4 linked regions of the Arabidopsis thaliana genome follow. The protein of the gene in region 3 interacts with the protein of the main gene of each other region in a pairwise test. Each region holds a gene or a part of one and is shown on either strand. Other genes may lie near its edges. The genes, in order: AT4G31420, HB-7, CSDP1 and AT2G02060.

Region 1 (4,549 bases), 1.8 Mb from region 3:
CAGAACTTACTTTATACTTTGAACTTGATCCTGATTTCTTCTCCTCCAACCATTTTCTTGCTTCCATGACAGCTGTATTGGACATTTCACCCACATTCACGTCTAGAAATAAAATAGAAAAGAAGACGTTATCACATAGACTAATCCGGTCTACTTGCACAGTCTACCATCAGTAACATACCGCTTGTCAATCCATAGTCATCATGACTCGTCTCAATAGCAGAGGGGACGCTGGGATGATCTACAACCCTAGCCTTGATGATATCTATTAACCTATCACCCTCTTCCCTGAAACAACATACACATGAATGAATAAGCAGGATACAAGATCAGCTTAGATTTGGTAACTACACACGTCTCAGAAAGATTCTTTAAGCTATGAGGTGTAAATAATAAGAATAGTCGAGGAGGCTGCTACTTATGATGTCCAAAAAGCCAGGCAGAGAAATACCTTGCAAATGTTTCTTGCAAGAGAAGCTGCTCAATTACACGCTTAGAACTGAGTCGTTGAATGCTTGGTTGCTGGGCACTCAGAAGGTCCTATTCACACAAGCACAAAAACTGAAATTATGCTTTTATAAAAAAAACTCTCAGTTGAAAACGTGTTAGCTTCACGAACTTTACTTCAAACAATTATCATAGGACTACAGTGGCATAGCAATCACCAAAACGAACAAGGTGGTTAGTACCTCTTCAGTAAAATCGGGATTGTTCTTCTCAACATCCTCATCACCATCAATATCTGCAAACAAAGAAGAAAACATATAAAAATCCATACATTAAAAGAATAAGACACAACAAAGCTGGTTGGTATTCTCAATCCCAGAACTACATTATATGAATAAAAATTAGAGCTTTAGAATTAGTATGAAGTTTATAGCTTAGAAGTAACCTAACTAAATAGAGTACAACAATGCTTAACTGCTCTTAAGTCCCACATATTAAAGGAAAGAGAAAATGGGAAAGCTTTAAGTCAAACTTCACATTTCAAACGAAACGGTAGCTTTCAGATTCGACCAGACAATAAACCAAAAATTCAAATTAATCCTATCTAAACTGAAATAAATGGTACAAACCTGAAGATGAATCCTCGTCCTCCTCCGAAGATGAGGAAGAGTCGGAGAAGACGACGGAAGAAATGAATTTTCCGGCGCCGGAAGCAATTACGCTGGCGGGTTTGTAAACGAGCCTGGAGATCCAACTAGGGTTTTGCTGAGGAGGATCTCGGGATCTCTGAACGGGGCGCTCACACGGCGTCCTGACAACAGCGGTGCGTCGTGGTCGAACAATTTTCCCACCGACTCGAGGCTGACCTGCTCCGGCGGCGTAACCGGAGACGGAATCCATGGTGAAAGTGAGAGGAGGAGGGAGAAGTTCGTTGTAGGAAATAATGAAAGTGTTGAGGAAAAATTGGTAATTTCTCGTTATTTGTCGTCTTCTTGTTTTTTTTTTTAATTGGGGGTGAATAGTTAGTTTCCTAAATTACAGGCCTGCGGTTAAAATTTCTTCCACTAATAAAATTAGGCAAAAACAAAACATTGCGATTAAAAAAAATTAATCGTAGTAAAATCATGTATTATATTCTTCTCTTTTCATATTTTGAACATATCACATGATGTTTAGATCTTATAAATGCAGTAATTTAATAGAGAGATTAGAATTTGGAAGAAAAAAAAGTTACATGATTAAACGAAGTAATTAATCAAGTTGTAAGTAGTTATTTTAAAAACAATATTAGAAAAATGTTTTTTGGTTACTCATACAGTAATACTTAATTCGTCAACTGTGTCAGTGTTACAAAAAGGCTAAAAGAATGGGCCAAATGGGCTACTCTTGTATCGGGTCAGGAACGGGTCAGTTCCAACCCGATCGGATCTAAAATGGGCGGGGCGCCTTCCTTTTCATTTTGATGGCAATCAATCATCATCAATCGACGCTTTTTTAGAGACAAACACGATCGCCGATCCATTTACGAGCCGTCGTTGCTCTACACATATCAACAACAAATCTTATCCTCCCAACTATCTTTTCTCTGATTTTCTTTTCTTCTCCAGTTTCCATTTCTAGAATCGATCGATATTGAAGGAGAGAAGATGCCTGGTTTAACATGTAACGCGTGTAACATGGAGTTCAAGGACGAAGAAGAACGTAACCTTCATTACAAATCCGATTGGCACCGCTACAATCTCAAGCGCAAGGTTTCATTTCTTCTGCTTTCTCTATCGAATTTGAACTCAAGCCTATCTGTTTCTCGGGAAAATCTTGCGTCGGTGATGAGATGAAAGTTTCTGAGAAACAGCTTTTCCATTTTGCTATCGAAATTGTTTAGTTAAGGTTATGGAATCGTAGAGTTTATATGAAAATTTGTTTTGAAGCTTATTCTACTAAGGAACAAGGATTTCAATAATCATAGATTTGGTTACTTCTAGGCATTTGAATCTTTGTATTTCTGTAATTTTTTATGTTAGGTGGCTGGAGTTCCTGGAGTTACAGAAGCCTTGTTTGAGGCTAGACAATCTGCTCTTGCTCAGGAGAAGAATAAATCAAATGAAGCACCTATGCTTTATACTTGTGCAATCTGTGCTAAAGGTTACAGGAGTTCCAAGGCTCATGAGCAGCATCTTCAGTCGCGTAGCCATGTTTTGCGGGTTTCACAAGGGACATCAATCAACGGAGAGGAGGATATAGCGATTATCAGGCAACTTCCTCGCCGTGTTCAACACAGGGGTTCCATTGATGATGATAGTGAAGATGAATGGGTGGAGGTTGATTCTGACGAGGAATTGGCTGCTGAAGAAGCCTCTGATTCTTTGTCTAAGTTGAATGTGAATGAGTCTGGATCTGCTGAAGATATGGATGATGATGGTGATGCAGATAAGTATGAGCTGGATCCAACCTGCTGTTTGATGTGTGACAAAAAACATAAGACCTTAGAGAGCTGTATGCTTCACATGCATAAGCATCATGGTTTCTTTATTCCCGATATTGAGTATCTCAAGGATCCTGAAGGGCTTCTCACTTACCTTGGTCTTAAGGTTTGGACTCATCAATTTACCATTCAGTGTTCGTTGTTGTCAAGCTTTGAAATTCTTACTCCTGTTTACTTATACATTGCTCATCATTTAGGTCAAGAGAGACTTCATGTGTCTGTACTGCAATGAGCTGTGCCGTCCATTCAGCAGCTTAGAAGCTGTAAGAAAACATATGGAAGCAAAGAGTCATTGCAAACTGCATTATGGTGATGGTGATGATGAAGAAGATGCTGAGCTAGAAGAGTTTTATGACTACAGCAGCAGGTTTCAACTCTCTTCTATCTCTGATTATTCTTGTTCTCGCCTGTATTCCTCGTTCTATGCCAAATCTTAATCCGCACCTTTCTTTGGAATATATGAATTGAGCAGCTATGTTGATGAAGCTGGAAAGCAAATTGTTGTATCTGGTGAAACAGACAATACTGTAGAACTCGTTGGTGGTTCTGAGCTCTTGATCACGGAGAAGTCCGAGAACACAACAACGTCTAAAACTCTCGGGTCCCGTGAATTCATGCGTTACTACAGACAGAAGCCACGCCCAACTTCTCAAGACAGCAACCAGATAATTGCCTCTTTATCTTCAAGGTTTGTTTTCTCCAAACCCGTTAATCATCCGAGTCTATCCAATCAGATAATCGGCAAGGTAAACTAAGGTTATTCCAACAAATGGTAAATTCTCAGGTACAAGAGCCTGGGTCTGAAGACAGTACCGTCGAAAGAGGAGACTTTGAGGATGAAAGTGCGCAAGGAGATGAGCAAGAGAGGCGAGACAATGCGTACCAAGATCGGAGTGAAGAGTAATGTCATAAGAAACTTGCCCAATAACGTCCCATATTAGTTTCTGTGTATGTGCCACTTGTTCTCAAGTGTTGGATTGTATGATGATTTCATGTACTTTTGAGTCTTTGACCAAGTTGTGTTGCTACTTGGTAATAAGAGTAAGCTTTAAAAAGAGTATGTTCACTGAAATAGAAATGTTAAAAATTAATACACGAACGTTGACTTCTGATTTACTCTCAATATCTACATTGTCCAGAGATGCATGTAAAACAAAGAAGAGACAACGACAAAAGGGTACTACAATATCCCAAAAAGGCTTTTTGTTTAGTTTTTGTACAAAGGCTGCGACTGCTGCGAGTAATGTCACAAGACAAACCTAAAATAAAATTTATGTGTAGAAACAAAAAGAAAAAGAAGAAAGAGGTCCAAAACCAAGAACACTGGCTACAAATAGGCTGGTCTGCATCATTTGCTTCGCTTCATTTTCCAGCTGACTGAGAAAGAACGAAAAGGAACATTACAGATTCACAAGAAGACAGTACCAAAAGCATAGAAACAGAAGGTTAATACCTAATTTTCATAGAAGCGGGTTCGACGCCTTCTTGAACTGTAAATCAGAGAAAACAAGGCATCAAGCAATGTCTCTTAAGTAACCATCATATATAGCACAAGAAAGCTACTAAACCAGGTCAACACCCCAAGCTATTATGCCAGAAATATCACACAATGGGGCCTGA
Region 2 (3,998 bases), on a different chromosome or scaffold from region 3:
AGTTTGATCTTGTATTTGTTTCAGATGCTGTTTTTATGATGAAGCTTGTGTGTCTCTTACCTTTTTGTCAAAGCATCGATCTTTCCTCTTCAACCGGAACTTCATCAATGCAGCTTCTCTCTGGCTTCTACTCCAACGTTGTTTCGCACTTTCTTCTTCCTTTGGTTTCTCTGTGCTACTGCTTTGTCCAGCAATCCCCTCATTGGTGCTTTGAGAACCAGCTTCTACTTCCTTGCTAGCTGCTTTCTCGCGATTTGATTCTACCGGTATGGGTGAATCTTGCTTCTGATTCGTTACTGTGGACTGAAGAACTTGGTTACGGAAGCTTACGCTTGATGATCCGATATTCTCCTGGTTGCTGCTCGTTGTGGAGCTTCCTTGATCAGATCTTACTTTTCTCAACTTTTCATGTGATTCGGTTGGTGTCTTTGGCTCACCTGAAGTACTCTCCTCTAAAGCAACGACGGCTTTTTCTGCTGACTTGCTTTCCTCAAATCTGCAAGTTAAATACATAAGAATTTGCGAATTGACTGACTCTGTTTTGATACTCTGCTTTTGTTGAGAAAAAAACAAAGTTTCTCCTTAAATCTTCCGAGTCAAGAAGATGTTAACTTGGGTTTCATGGTTCTTTTCGTGTTCCTAATATCAGTTTCTTCTCACCAACTTAGTTCTCTTCTTGATCTTTTACATATTAATGCATAACACTTTATATATATGATTTCTCCTGCTTTTGATTTTTATTCATCCAAATTTAGTCTTAAACTTACTACTTAGCTACAAAGCATGACGAGTACTTACTACTTAAAAACAGAATTACAAACACGAACTGAGAATATACGTCTTTCTAAACACATCATTTATACAGACAAAACCATACAATTTCAGCTCAAAATCCTGCAAAATTCTCGCTGAGAAACGAGTCATTTGCTGGACCGAATATCTCTATATCCGTGGCTCGGTTCATGCGATGTAGACCGGTAAATTTCGATTTGAATATGTATATATCCAATCTTTAGTCTCAATCTGTTTCATCTTCTTGTTTAGAGTTTATTGTTTTCATGACCAAAAATCCCGCCAAGGGTAATTGTTGCTGGATTGGTCCAAGAGAGTAGTAGTATCTGATTTGAAACCTCTCCAATCATCAGATGATGTCAAACAACTATCAGCTGGTTCAACAATGTTCATTAAGTGATCTGGTTCTTCCTCAAACCCACCAAAATACTCTCTCTTGATGTTGTTACTATAACCATTATCATCATCTTCATAATCATGATGATCACACATAACCCCATGATGACCCTTATCATCTTTCATCTCCATCTCCGGTCTAACCTCTTCCGGTTTACGCCTCCGGTTCTCTTCGTTTTCTGATTCATGATGTGTGCTGCTTAGAGCAACCACCGCTTGATCTCCACTACACTGCCTTTCCTCCTCCTGTGTCTTCTTTTGCGTCGCCTCTTTTAGCCTCTGCAACTACATAAAGGTATAAAACAACTCATCAACAATCTATTCTCTCCTTCAATAAACCATCAAAACAGAGTTTTTCTTGATCACCTAATCAGTCCTTAATTGCAATATAACCACTAAAGCACATATTTTATCACATATTTAAAACCACAGTTTTTCAGTATACAACCACAAAATACACAGATTTTAACTAACCATGTAAGAATAAACAGAGTTTAGAACATACCTCAGAGACTAAAGCTTGTTTTTCTTTCTTTAAGGACTCGAACTGAGAAGCCAAGTTGTCGTAGTTTTGTCTGAGAATGTTGTACTCAGTCTCGAGCTGCTTGGATTTCCAACGAGCCCTCTTGTTCTGAAACCATATAGCCACTTGCCTCGGCTGCAACCCTAGCTCTCTAGCTAATTGAACCTTCTTCCTTGGCTCAAGCCTTGTCTCAGACTCAAACATCATCTCCAGTGACTTGATCTGCTCGTCGCTAAACCTTCTCTGATTGTTCTTGTTGTGGTTGCTCTTCTTCATCTTCTTCATGGTCAAGAATGGCTCTGCTGACATCATCGCCGGAGAATATTCTCCACCTTCTGTCATCTCATCGGAATTTTTCCTCAGAGGATTTATGTTTTCTTTATTTTTATTTTTTGGAATCTCTATGTTTGTGTGATGTTGGCTATCTATATATGTGTGTTGATGAGGCTGAGATTATTATGTTAACAGTTATATAAAAATGTGATTTGTTGTTCTTTTTTGGGAGGGCTCCTTAGCATATAATAAGATATAACTTTGGGTTTGCTTTATCGTAAATTTTTTATTCATTTTTGAGTAAACGATTTGTGGGTCGACAGGTAGCAATAGGGCGGATTTTGGCTGTTTCTAGAGTCGTCGCTATCACTTGTTAAGTCGAGTTTCATTTCAACTCGAAACTAATCATCTAACTACTGATTAATAATTTCCACCTTTTTTATTTCTTTTACTTGTGACAAAATTAGTTTCGACTTAACAAGTGTTAGAAAATTAAATGATACAAAAAAATCTGCATACTACACAATTTACCGCATAGTAAACATTCTGGTCGATGTGAAAATGGAAATGGAACAACGGTTGCGTACCAATGTATTTAGTGATGTGGGTGCATATTAACAAATCCTGTTAAGTGGATCTTAAATAAAAATGAAGGGAATTATAATGGTTCATATAATGATTAGCATTTCTGAACTGATTACTAAACAATTATAATGGTTCATATAGGGAATTTCAGAAAATGAATAATCCTCATCTCCTATGCATATATCATCATGTGATTAATTATATTCTTTTCAGTACATCTCTGGTGAATTTTTAAATTTTTATGATTGTGTGCGACAGATTTAACGTTCAGAAGTCAGGATGTGTGACGGGTGTTTTTGTATACGTATGACACAAATCATAATTTTCTTAGAATGTGACTTTAATATTATTATACTTGCATTGTAAAACATATATTGATTACATCACAAATCTCAAAAACAAAACATTGTGACTTAAGTATGATGGGATACAATTTTTTCCAGCTATTTGCTTACGCAATTTTTTCTAATCGGAGATTTGATTTAGAATCAAAGCCTAAACTAATTTTTATAGATAAGTGTAATACAAGTTTACCTTCACCACACGTAAAACTTCCGTGCATGCGATTTGATAACTTTTTGCCAACTCTGTTGTGATCATTTGTTGACCCCTTCCTTACAAAAAGATATTTACTTCAGATTGAAAAATTGACAATACTATTATACTCGTAAACTATTTGTTTCTAATATCATATTTGAACTTATATGATAAATCACAGATATAATGATTCTTGAGAAAATTTTCTAAATTTTTCTTTTTTTCTGTTTTTATGTTAACAACACCATATTTATATATATTTTTAGAAAAAAAAACTAAATAGAAATGGCATATAATAGTTTTTTTCTAGAGTCTATATAACGTTATTTTTAAGAAAGTCTTCATACAACTGATTTCGCAAAATTTCTCTAGTTTAGTTTTACAAATTATGGTACTTCAAACCTCTATAAATGTTATGGTATTTTAAGAATGAATGCCTCGTGATTATTTAACAAACATTACTCCAAAGACAAAAGGCTAATTTTTCGTAACATTTCATCATTTGAATGGAAGCAAGTTAAATTTTTGCCAACAGGGAAACCATATTTGAGGCAGATTCCCTAGACTTTATTTTCTTCACGATAGCGATAACAATTTAACAATATTAGTATTAATGTGAAAAGCAACTTTAATTCTTGCTTTCCTGATTAGTTTAAGGTTTACGTTCACCTTGCTTGTCGGAAATTTCTTTTGACTAATTAATACAAGCAAAAATATTAAATTGGGCCATCTAGATAAGATATTTTCAAACCCTAATATTCTTTTTTTAATAATTAAATCTGATATTTGTAAAAAAAAACATAATTCGAAATTATATCTATCAAGTATCAACTAAAATTAAACCAAAAAGAAGTACCAACTAAAATTTAACGTAAGAGATCAATTTCTAAAG
Region 3 (4,273 bases):
TTTATGTTTAGTGCATATTTCTATAAAATGAAGTATAACCTTTAAATCCATGTGTGGTTGAAGATCCGAGTTTTTGGATGTAAAACTAGTAGAAGTTGCAGGTTCGATTGCACTTGGAATAAAAAAAAACTGACCAAATATCAAAAGAAATTGATCCATAACCTTAAAATTGCTCATTAAGCTACCATTTCAAGAGACATCTATATGACAATGGAACTTAATACCATGAAAAATATTAGTGATTAATGCGATCTGAGGTGATTAGCAAGGTTTTCGTTGATTGGATCCAAGTGATGATATAAACAAGGAGATGTGGATGATGTTTAACCTAATCAGGTTTTTATATGTGGTTTATTACTATAATCTTCTAACCAATGATCATATGATTTTGTGGCTTTGTTTGGACATGAAAAGGTGAACACCAAACTTTGGTTTCCAGTTTCTTCTATCAGGAAGATTCGTCATCAGTCTTGGATTTAGTTAATAGTGAATTAGGTTCAAACTTTTAACCCTTTAAAACGACTGTGACATTCCCTAAATGACTGTACAAAGCAGGGATTAATCAGGTAAGACTGAGGTCATCACTTGAACTTTGTCCACAAGATTTGTATCCAGTCCTTTATTGGTAAAGAAGGATGAAACTGCAAAATCATATCCATCAATTCACAGGTTACTAATTAAGTCACAATTGATAATTGGGATGTCACTCATATCAGATAAAGCTAAAAAGTCTATAACAATTACCAACAACAAAAGAACCAGTGGATTGGATTCATCTTGTGTCAAAGGGTTAAAAAGTACTATTGAACTTGAGACGTCATACCTGTGCTGCTAATAGTCAAAACATCCAAGTACAAAAGCAATGAACTGAAACTAGCAGCACTTTAATAAAAAGGACAAAACTCAAACTTTGGATGACATAAGTAATATGATGAGGTCAAAATTTCCAGAAACAGATAGAAGAAAAGGAGAGAGCATCCATATCAAATAAAGCTAAAAACTTGTAATAGTTATAACAAAAAGGGATCACTCTGTATAATAATAAAAGCTCAAAAACACACCAAAAGGACCAGGCAATTTCATTCCCATCAACAACAAAAAAAAAGATAAATGAAAACGAAGAGTAATATATACCAAACTATATAACTCGATTCAATTTCATTCTTGTTTTTTTGTTTTGTTGATTAGGAAATCGATTAAGCTACAGAAGAACATTCCCTTGCAAAGTGACCTTCCTTACCACACTTGTAGCACGCATTATCATTACCTCCTCCACCGCTTCCTCTCTGGTCACAATCACGAGCCAAGTGACCAGAACCACCACACTGGTAACACCCACGAGAAGGCTGTCTCTTAGTCGCACAATCTCTTGCAATGTGACCAACTCCACCGCATGAATAACAAGTTCCACTACCACCACCACCGCTTCTGACGTTTCCGGCAGCAACCTTCTGAGTACAATCCCTAGCAAAGTGACCAACATCACCACAAGTGTAGCAACCATCGTTTCCACCTTTGACCGCTCCACGTTGGTCTCCGTTTCCAACTGATTTCTGAGTACAATCCCTAGCCACGTGACCAACATCACCGCAAGTGTAGCAACCATCGTTTCCACCTTTGGTGGCTCCACGTTGGTCACCGTTTCCAGCTGAAGTACAATCCCTAGCGAAGTGACCAGTATCACCACAATTGTAACAACCTTCTCCTCCTCTAGATCTACGTTCACCACCTCCGCCGCCGCCACCAATACCACAATCTTTAGAGATATGACCTAACTCACCGCAATTGTAGCAACCGCTTCCACCGCCGCCGCGCCTAGCACCGTTACCACGAGAGTTATTCTCCTTCTTGAGAGAACCACCACCAGGAGCAGTAACATTGACGGCTTTAGTCTTACCGTCGCTTCCCTGAGTAATAGCGAACTCAACCGCATCGCCGACGGTTAAACTCCGGTAACCTTCGGAGACAATTGAAGATTGATGAACGAAAAGCTCTACGCTGCCATCGTCAGGAGTAATGAAACCATAGCCTTTAGAAGCGTTGAACCAGTTCACCTTCCCGGTAGATCTCGCCGCCGATTGATCCTCTGAAGCCATCGTTAAAAAAAAAAGTTGAAGAAGAGATTGAGAAATTAGGGTTTTTTAAGTTGGGAAATCCTTAGGCGTGTGTGTGTATATATATATAGAGGTAGAGTGGGATTAAATCTGTAATTAAGAGGAAATTAATGAGAAAACCCTAATTTTAGTGGGGAATGTAATTAAACCCTAATTTGACTATGCCGCCTAATTAAAAATTTTGGTGGAATATTCTTTGGGACTGGAGAAATTTAGGAAACTTGCTATTTCACTTTTTTTTTATCCACGTCCGTTTATCAGCTGTGCACGCGTCCACGCTTGAATTTTAATCGTGGTCGTACGTTATGATTTTCTTACAGTGAATCGCGATAAGATTGGGATCTTAGTCCAATTTTTACATTGGGCCAATTGTTTGTGGTCCAAGATTTTTACTCTGATGGGCTTAAGCTGGACTTGGTATGGCCTTTTTTATATTTTATTTCCCGATTCGGCTGGTTACTACTAAATCAATATCCATCAAATAAATTGTACTTTTAGCTTCAGGCTATGGTATTGCAGCTTTTGCTTATGCTTTTCAAAACTACAAAATGTTGGTGATCAGTGATCTCTCATTGTCAATACACAAAATTAGGTATTGAAAAATAAAACTTTATACAACTTTTTGATAGTGGTTAAAAAACAGAGTCACCTACATAAAAAATCATTGGAACACACGTGGAAATCAAATCCTAGTATTTTCTAATAATTCATTCAATGGGAAAATTACAAGTGAAAGCCTCTAGATCCTCTTGATTGGTAAAGCTCGAGTCTGCTCTTAGCTTCATACAACAAAGCTTCCATATCTTCATCTTCAAGTACATTAGCTTGCTTCGATGACCATTCCAATACCGTTAACACTTCGTCTTTCGCTAACTGTTCACTGTCTGGAACATTCATCGCCACGTAGCTCAGCAAAACCATCGCCGGAATCTGTGCTCCGTTCTCTCCGAAATACGCTAACTGAACCAGAAGCTTTGATCCTCCAGCTTCGATGATTGTCCTCGAGTGTTCTTTCCCTAAAAAGTTATCCTCCGTCGCGAATTTCGCTAACGCGATCGCTACCTCCGCCGCTAAATCTGGTTCTCCGTCGTCGAGGAGTTTTACCAGAGGCACGATCATATGCGTTTCCGCTGATTTGAACGTTCTCGCTAGGTTTCCGATGGATCTTACACAGGGGATGAGTAAATCGGATCCGGCGTCGGCGTTTTCAACGATTCGGAATAACTGGTCAACCACCGCTTTGCACGCCGGTGAAGTGCGTCTGAACGCGGATCTTCTCAGATCTGCGTTTTCCTCAGCCACGGCGGTTATCTCCATGATAGCCATAGCTGTGTTATACTTAGTCTCTTCGTCTCCTTTGTCTAGTAAAACCGCAAAACAGAGTAAAGCTCGTGACTCGGTGATGACTCGGCAGATCGATGAGTTTCCTACAGCGAGTTTCCATAACGCTCTCGCCGCCATCGCTTTCATATAAGTCTTCGTCACCGGATCTTCAAGCTCTCTCCCTCTCGTCACCGACGCGTTTCGCGATTGATGTGCGATACTACCGTAAGCCTTGATCTGTGAACTCATACTATAACTCTTCTCCGGTATCTTTTCCGGGGGTTTATCGTCGTCGCCGGTAACAAATCGGCTAGAAAGATTCGATTTCGATCCTGATCCAACCGCTTTCATCGCCATTGTTGTTGCAACGATGCTATGCATCTGATTCGTCATCGGACTCGAGACTCCGATATGATTATCGTCGTCCTCCTCCTCGTTCAACGCCGGTAAATTCTCTTTACTACTACTGATTTTACTCGCCATTACGACGGCGTGATGCATCGACGTTGCTCTACCCGCAACAACCGCGTATTTGCTATGTTCTTGAACCGTTTCAAACGCTAAATGACTCACAAGAAGCCTAATCACGTTGTTTTGCGCAAACAGTTCTTGACATTTGGCGTGATTACCAGAAACAAGCTCTGAAACAGCCCAAGCCACAACGGCTTGAACCTTCATCGAACCTTCTTTAAGAATACTTGAAAGCACTGAACAAACACCAAGCTGAATCATATGCTCAACACTTTCCGGGTCACGACCCAGTAACCCGATTGTTCTCGCTGCGTTTTCTTGACCGTCGATTTTACCTTCTTTTACAAGTTTCAACAAAGGGTTGA
Region 4 (5,399 bases), on a different chromosome or scaffold from region 3:
GACAGAGACGGAGATGGAGACGGAGACGAAGAAGAATCGTTGACAGAGGGGAAAATGCGAGAGAGGGTGGAGGAAGAGTCAGAGACGATTCGGAGATAACCAGAAGTTCTGTAGAGGGAGAAGCAGAAGCAGATGAAGAAGAGCAAGAGAACGGCTCGGAGTACATTGCCGGAGCACGGTGGGATTACGACGGAAGTTACGGCGGCGGCGGCGGAGGAAGAATGATTCTCGTCGGAGTAAGAATCGTTGAGTATCGCCGTCTTGGAATTGGAGCCAAAACGGTTCGATAGATTCATCTTCGCCGACGTTGACGACGTTGGTCATCGTCTGGGCGGTTATAAGGTAGTTTCAAGTTTTTTGAATGTAAAACGCGGCGTTTAATGAGTTTACCCTCCAACGATGAAACGCAGCGTTTAATGGGTTTTATCTGCGAGATTATTTTTTCTACCGTAGGATTGCCGACCAAAATAACAATGAACATTCTAAACCGTAGGATCTTGATATAGAAACGCTGCGTTTAGGGGTTATCCTTCAAAGATCAAAACACTGCGTTTGGCTCTGTTTGTTAATTTTCCGTTCAAAGGCGATCAAAACGCTGCGTTGATAATTTATCTAAACTTCATTTTCTAGGTTTCTCTACTAACATTCAATATCCTAGTTTCAAAAACACATCCGAATAGTTTCTCTGAACCTAAATCTTGCATAACTTATTTAGCTACCGAGGAGAGAAATTGACAGATTAAGATCAATCTTTGAAGAACCAAAGCAATCTTTGGATACGAATGGTGCTGAACAAGTCGAGACTGCTGCTTCACTCGTTTCGCTCACCACCGATGATCCATTGCTTCTCCAATGATGATGATTTAACGACAGAGACAACGACAAATCTTCTTCTTCTTCTTCGTGTTCTTGTTCCCGCCACTCCTCTGTTCCCTAATGAACCAAAAGACAAAATTAGTTACCAAACCGGACTAAAACCGGTTAAATGCCATTTATATGAAACTAATTAGATTCAATGACAAGTAGTACTTAAACCGGACTCAATCCCTTTGGATTTGACCAGTCTCAATCAGACCGGTTAGAACTCATAACCGGACTTGATTTTGTTTTGCAACATTAAATTTCCAAACCGGTTGACAAAAGAGAAATTTATTTATACCTTGGGGAAATGATGTGACAAAAACGTCGTCGTATCGTTCATCTTCTTGATGTGAAGAAAGTCAGCATCATCATCATAACCACCAGACTCTGAAGTCTGCTGCTCTTTTGTTCTTCCTCCTCCTCCTCCTCTGCACCAAAGTAAAAGGACAATTCAAATACAGACAAACAAAAAAGCAAAACACTTTTTTTTTTTTTTTACTGAAATAAAATTAAAAAACTTTGTCAGAAAACAATTATAAATAAAAATAAATACCTAAATGAAGAATGTGAAGAAAGAGGAAAAGAGTGAAAACCCAAAAGACAATCATTCCTTGTGTGTAAAGACAAGTTGTCATGAAGATAATAATCTTCTTCACTGTCTTGTCTTCTTCTTATTGAAGATGATGAGCTTTCTTCTGTGTAAGAAACAATAAAAACTAGTTAATGAATATTCTCTTATTTTCTGTTCTATTACTCTTGAAAAATATATAAATGTATTTATGACATTTGTCTTATGAATCATGACACTAGACCAATAGTACATACTACAAACAGATACAGTAAAATAATTAAATTCCATCCATTATTATGTGTTTGATGTTAACAGTTCAAATTAAAATCAACGGTCCCATTCTTTTTCCAAATATCATCATTGATTCATTTCATAATTATAAGGAAAAAAATAATACCTGGTTTCTCCAAAGTGAGCTTTGAACCTCCTCTATACATCTGTTTATATATATGTTCAAAACAATCAAAACAAGGTGTTATGAATGAAATATGAATAAAGAAGAAAACAAAATTGATGTTTTTGGTAAAATTAATTACTATTTACCTGAAGGTGGCTTTTGACATGTGAAATGGTAAGTCCCTTCACATCCATCATCTTAAGAACAAGTTTTGGTGTTGCTCCTGTTTCATCAAACCCAACAAAATATCAAAAAGGTGACTATGATGATTCTTTATGAAAAAAAACAAAAACTCAAACTTTATGAATGAAACAAAACAACAAAAGCGTGAAGGTTTTGACTCGGTAACTTGACAAAGATGATTCATTACGATGATGAAGATAAACAACACAATAAGGAAACTTCAAACCTTTTTTTTAGCATAAAAATCCAAACTTTGAAGATAAGAATGAAACAAAGTAACAAAAGTGTGAAGATTTTATTCAAAAACTGATTTTTTACGATGATTGAGACAAAAGAATGAGAAAAGTCCAATTTTTCTAGTTATATCGTAACTTTAGGATGTTTGAAGCAAACAAACACACAAAAGTTTGGTTTTTTTCACAAAAGATTTGAAGAGAAAAAAAGTATAATAAACTTACGGTGTTGACCACCGAGAATCTCGACGGCGTGAACGAAACAACGGTGAAGATCCGGCGTCCATCTAAGCCGTGGAACTGGAGACCGTACGTAAGGTCTAACTCCGTGAAATTTATTGCCGTTAAAGCTTCCGTTACCATTTCTACCACTAGACTTACCCATATCGTTTCAAGAACCCTAAAAACCGACACAAAGATTCGATTTTTACTTAAACCCAAGAGAAAAAAAGGTTTGATATGTTTTGGTTCTGTGAAGAGGAGAGAAAGAGAAACGAGGAGAGGAGGATTTGAGAGGTGTGTGGGTTGGGATTAAAAGAGCAAGTTTTTGTTTTTGGCTTCTTTCTTAAAGATGACTGTCTCTTTTTCCATCTATTCTTTTTGTCTCTTTTTGGATTCATTCATACTTATTATTATCTCTCTATATATGTTTTGCAAAATTCCAAAAAATAATTATTAAAACTTGAGAAATGTTTCATTCATTTTTTTTGTTAAATATCAATTTGAGTTCTTACGAAAAAACTACATTAATTAAAAGAGAGTTATAATTTTGTTGTTTAAGAATTGTTCATGACATATACGTGAGGAATTTGAGGATACGTAAACTATCGTAAAGTCAAAATTTCATAATCTGATATGGTTTATGGTTGGGTCACTTATTTAGACGATTAAACTAGCAAATAAAAAGAATGATGTTATAAAATTGGTTTATTATACTAAACAGAGAGGTGACATGTGTTTTTTGACCTACAAGCTTGTAGTAATCATACGAAAATCCATTTGACTTTGGTTACAAAAGTAGTAATCATACGAAAATCCATTTGACTTTGGTTACATTAGTCTTGACTCGTGACCCCATTCATTATTATCTTAAATAATTTTTTTAAATAGTTTTCGAGAGAATCATTGCATATCAACGTACCAGAGAACTACACAAGGCTACATACATAACTTGCATGAAAAGAACATAGATTCGAGTATTACCCTTGCCCCGATCGATATATAACCAATTGAACATACATTTGTTAGCTTAGCTGGTCAAAAGAATATACTTGTCATAGAAAAACCAAATTTTGTAAGAACACATAATATTTACCTTATAGGGATTTGGGATTTACCCAAATGAAGAAGTTTCCTCCACAGTACCTCAAACTTTACTTTCTCACTTTTTTCACGATAGGTTTTAGACCAAAACGAATAAATTTAAATGAAAATAGCCCAACTGCTTAGCTTTGACCATATAGCATAATTATTATTCCTATTTTTGTTTTTTGTTTTGTTTTTTTAGGGTTTCGTGTTAAACTTTCTGATTTCAAATAAATCACACAATTTTACAATGGTCCTTCGTTATGTCTTTTGGACCACCGTTTTGACTTCATTCCCCTAATTCCTTTACATTTTCTCCCATTTCCCATTCATTTTCCTTCTTATTGTTTTCTTTTTCACTCCCATAATAAGTGATAATAAATCTTAGGATAATATTTATAACAAGAATTATTTATTTTCCCCATTTTTCTTTTTCTCATTGCTGATTTGGTGTACATGGAAGACGAACCAAAACCATCATGTCCCTATATGGTAGCCGACAATAATTACTGATTTCGCCAGTTTTTTCCAACCATGGATTCAATATTTTAATCAACGAATTGTGGACATAAATCACGTTATTTTATCAGCTATTCTACTATTAACTACTTATATTAACATCAAATACTGTTTTTAAATGATGTATGTATTTCTTGTAAGAAATTAAGTACTAGTATATAATTTTTATGTAGTATTAGAAAGTAATTGATTTGTACTACATACTTACTCGTGGTTTACGTGGTATCAGCCATAATAATAAAAAAATAAGAAAAAGCCGATTGAGTATTAATTAAGAGAACAAAATTTAATAATTTATAATTTAACAAAGTCGTCGTCTTTATTCCACACATAAATCAGACATTTCTATACCCAACGAAAAAAACAATCAAATAATAAAATCTACACACAAAGTGAGGTCATTGACCTTTAAAATGTAGCCTATTGTGCTTTGCATTTTCTTCTCATTTATGCACATTCTCTAAATTATTATAAAAACGTGGAATTCTCTGCATATATGCCAAAATTCGCTTTAACGATTTTAAAAATGGTTTAGTGTTTGATTAGACGGTAATTAAAATATAATATTCAGTCACCAGCTTGTCAAAGACACACGAGTTGCTTATATTACCTATATATTGACTAGAAGAATAATACAAAAAGCTACCTAGGTTATGATCATTGATCAAAATAATCAAGTAAACACATTCCAAAAGGTTTTATCAGTGAAACAATTTTACTATATTCACTAATAAAGCCTTTTATTATCCTACTGATGATCATTGATCGATAAACACAATTGCATGGATGGATAAAATGTCTAACCGAGAGTTCAAGTCTCAAAAATCAAAATGGTTAGTACTAATACATGTATGAGAGAAAGTGGAAGCAAATGAAAATAATACATTAAATGAGTCTGGCAGAGACAAATAGCTCCAAGAGAAATTGAATGAGTAATTGACTGTGGAGGTCCATGATTCATGGCTTTTACCACAATCAAAACATTCAATAATTCTCTTTGCTTGTTTTTTTATTAATATTATAAAACTTTGTACATACATGTAAGATAATGTAACCCAACTGGATTTTGGACTATAAAAAACATAACATTCTTTTTTGTGTGTGGAAAATTTGGATGTGCAAATCTCACCGAACCATTCGACGATTATCAATGTTAATTTATTATTCTATTGGGTCAATTTTCTCATCACCCATTGATTGAATTCAATCATAGCACATGCAAGAACAAGGCAAATTCTAAGATGGTTAAAGTAATATAAAAGGTGTAATCCATGAAACACCTAGAGAGAACAGAGAAGAATTAGCCTTTTCACACCTAAAATAACATTAA

The links.
Region 1: the proteins of CSDP1 (region 3) and AT4G31420 interact in a two-hybrid assay, tested with the Arabidopsis thaliana proteins (one large-scale study listed by BioGRID).
Region 2: the proteins of CSDP1 (region 3) and HB-7 interact in a two-hybrid assay, tested with the Arabidopsis thaliana proteins (one large-scale study listed by BioGRID).
Region 4: the proteins of CSDP1 (region 3) and AT2G02060 interact in a two-hybrid assay, tested with the Arabidopsis thaliana proteins (one large-scale study listed by BioGRID).

The regions. Positions count from the first base shown.
Region 1 is NC_003075.7:15,245,308-15,249,856, reverse strand, and holds AT4G31420 (Zinc finger protein 622), read left to right. Parts: upstream 1-1,798; 5' UTR 1,799-2,093; coding exon 2,094-2,198; intron 2,199-2,468; coding exon 2,469-3,035; intron 3,036-3,126; coding exon 3,127-3,296; intron 3,297-3,398; coding exon 3,399-3,617; intron 3,618-3,713; coding exon 3,714-3,870; 3' UTR 3,871-4,041; downstream 4,042-4,549. Other genes in the region: AT4G31430 (flocculation protein), read right to left, coding at 11-102, 182-288, 452-540, 690-742, 1,077-1,347; AT4G31410 (E3 ubiquitin-protein ligase, putative (DUF1644)), read right to left, coding at 4,383-4,419. UniProt on the Arabidopsis thaliana protein: Pre-60S-associated factor involved in the cytoplasmic maturation of the 60S subunit. Involved in the dissociation and recycling of other late pre-60S factors before newly synthesized large ribosomal subunits enter translation.
Region 2 is NC_003071.7:19,164,721-19,168,718, forward strand, and holds HB-7 (homeobox 7), read right to left. Parts: upstream 2,248-3,998; 5' UTR 2,054-2,247; coding exon 1,694-2,053; intron 1,474-1,693; coding exon 1,057-1,473; 3' UTR 554-1,056; downstream 1-553. Other genes in the region: AT2G46670 (CCT motif family protein), read right to left, coding at 61-513. UniProt on the Arabidopsis thaliana protein: Probable transcription activator that may act as growth regulators in response to water deficit.
Region 3 is NC_003075.7:17,042,247-17,046,519, forward strand, and holds CSDP1 (cold shock domain protein 1), read right to left. Parts: upstream 2,316-4,273; 5' UTR 2,097-2,315; coding exon 1,197-2,096; 3' UTR 745-1,196; exon of another isoform or gene 642-744; 3' UTR 553-641; downstream 1-552. Other genes in the region: ARO3 (armadillo repeat only 3), read right to left, coding at 2,838-4,273. UniProt on the Arabidopsis thaliana protein: Chaperone that binds to RNA, single- (ssDNA) and double-stranded (dsDNA) DNA, and unwinds nucleic acid duplex. Exhibits a DNA melting activity. May be involved in cold resistance. Prevents seed germination under dehydration or salt stress conditions.
Region 4 is NC_003071.7:492,922-498,320, reverse strand, and holds AT2G02060 (Homeodomain-like superfamily protein), read right to left. Parts: upstream 3,577-5,399; 5' UTR 3,561-3,576; intron 2,941-3,560; exon of another isoform or gene 2,646-2,940; 5' UTR 2,631-2,645; coding exon 2,471-2,630; intron 2,277-2,470; exon of another isoform or gene 2,239-2,276; intron 2,053-2,238; coding exon 1,976-2,052; intron 1,870-1,975; coding exon 1,830-1,869; intron 1,557-1,829; coding exon 1,415-1,556; intron 1,290-1,414; coding exon 1,160-1,289; intron 934-1,159; coding exon 712-933; 3' UTR 543-711; downstream 1-542. Other genes in the region: AT2G02061 (Nucleotide-diphospho-sugar transferase family protein), read right to left, coding at 1-296.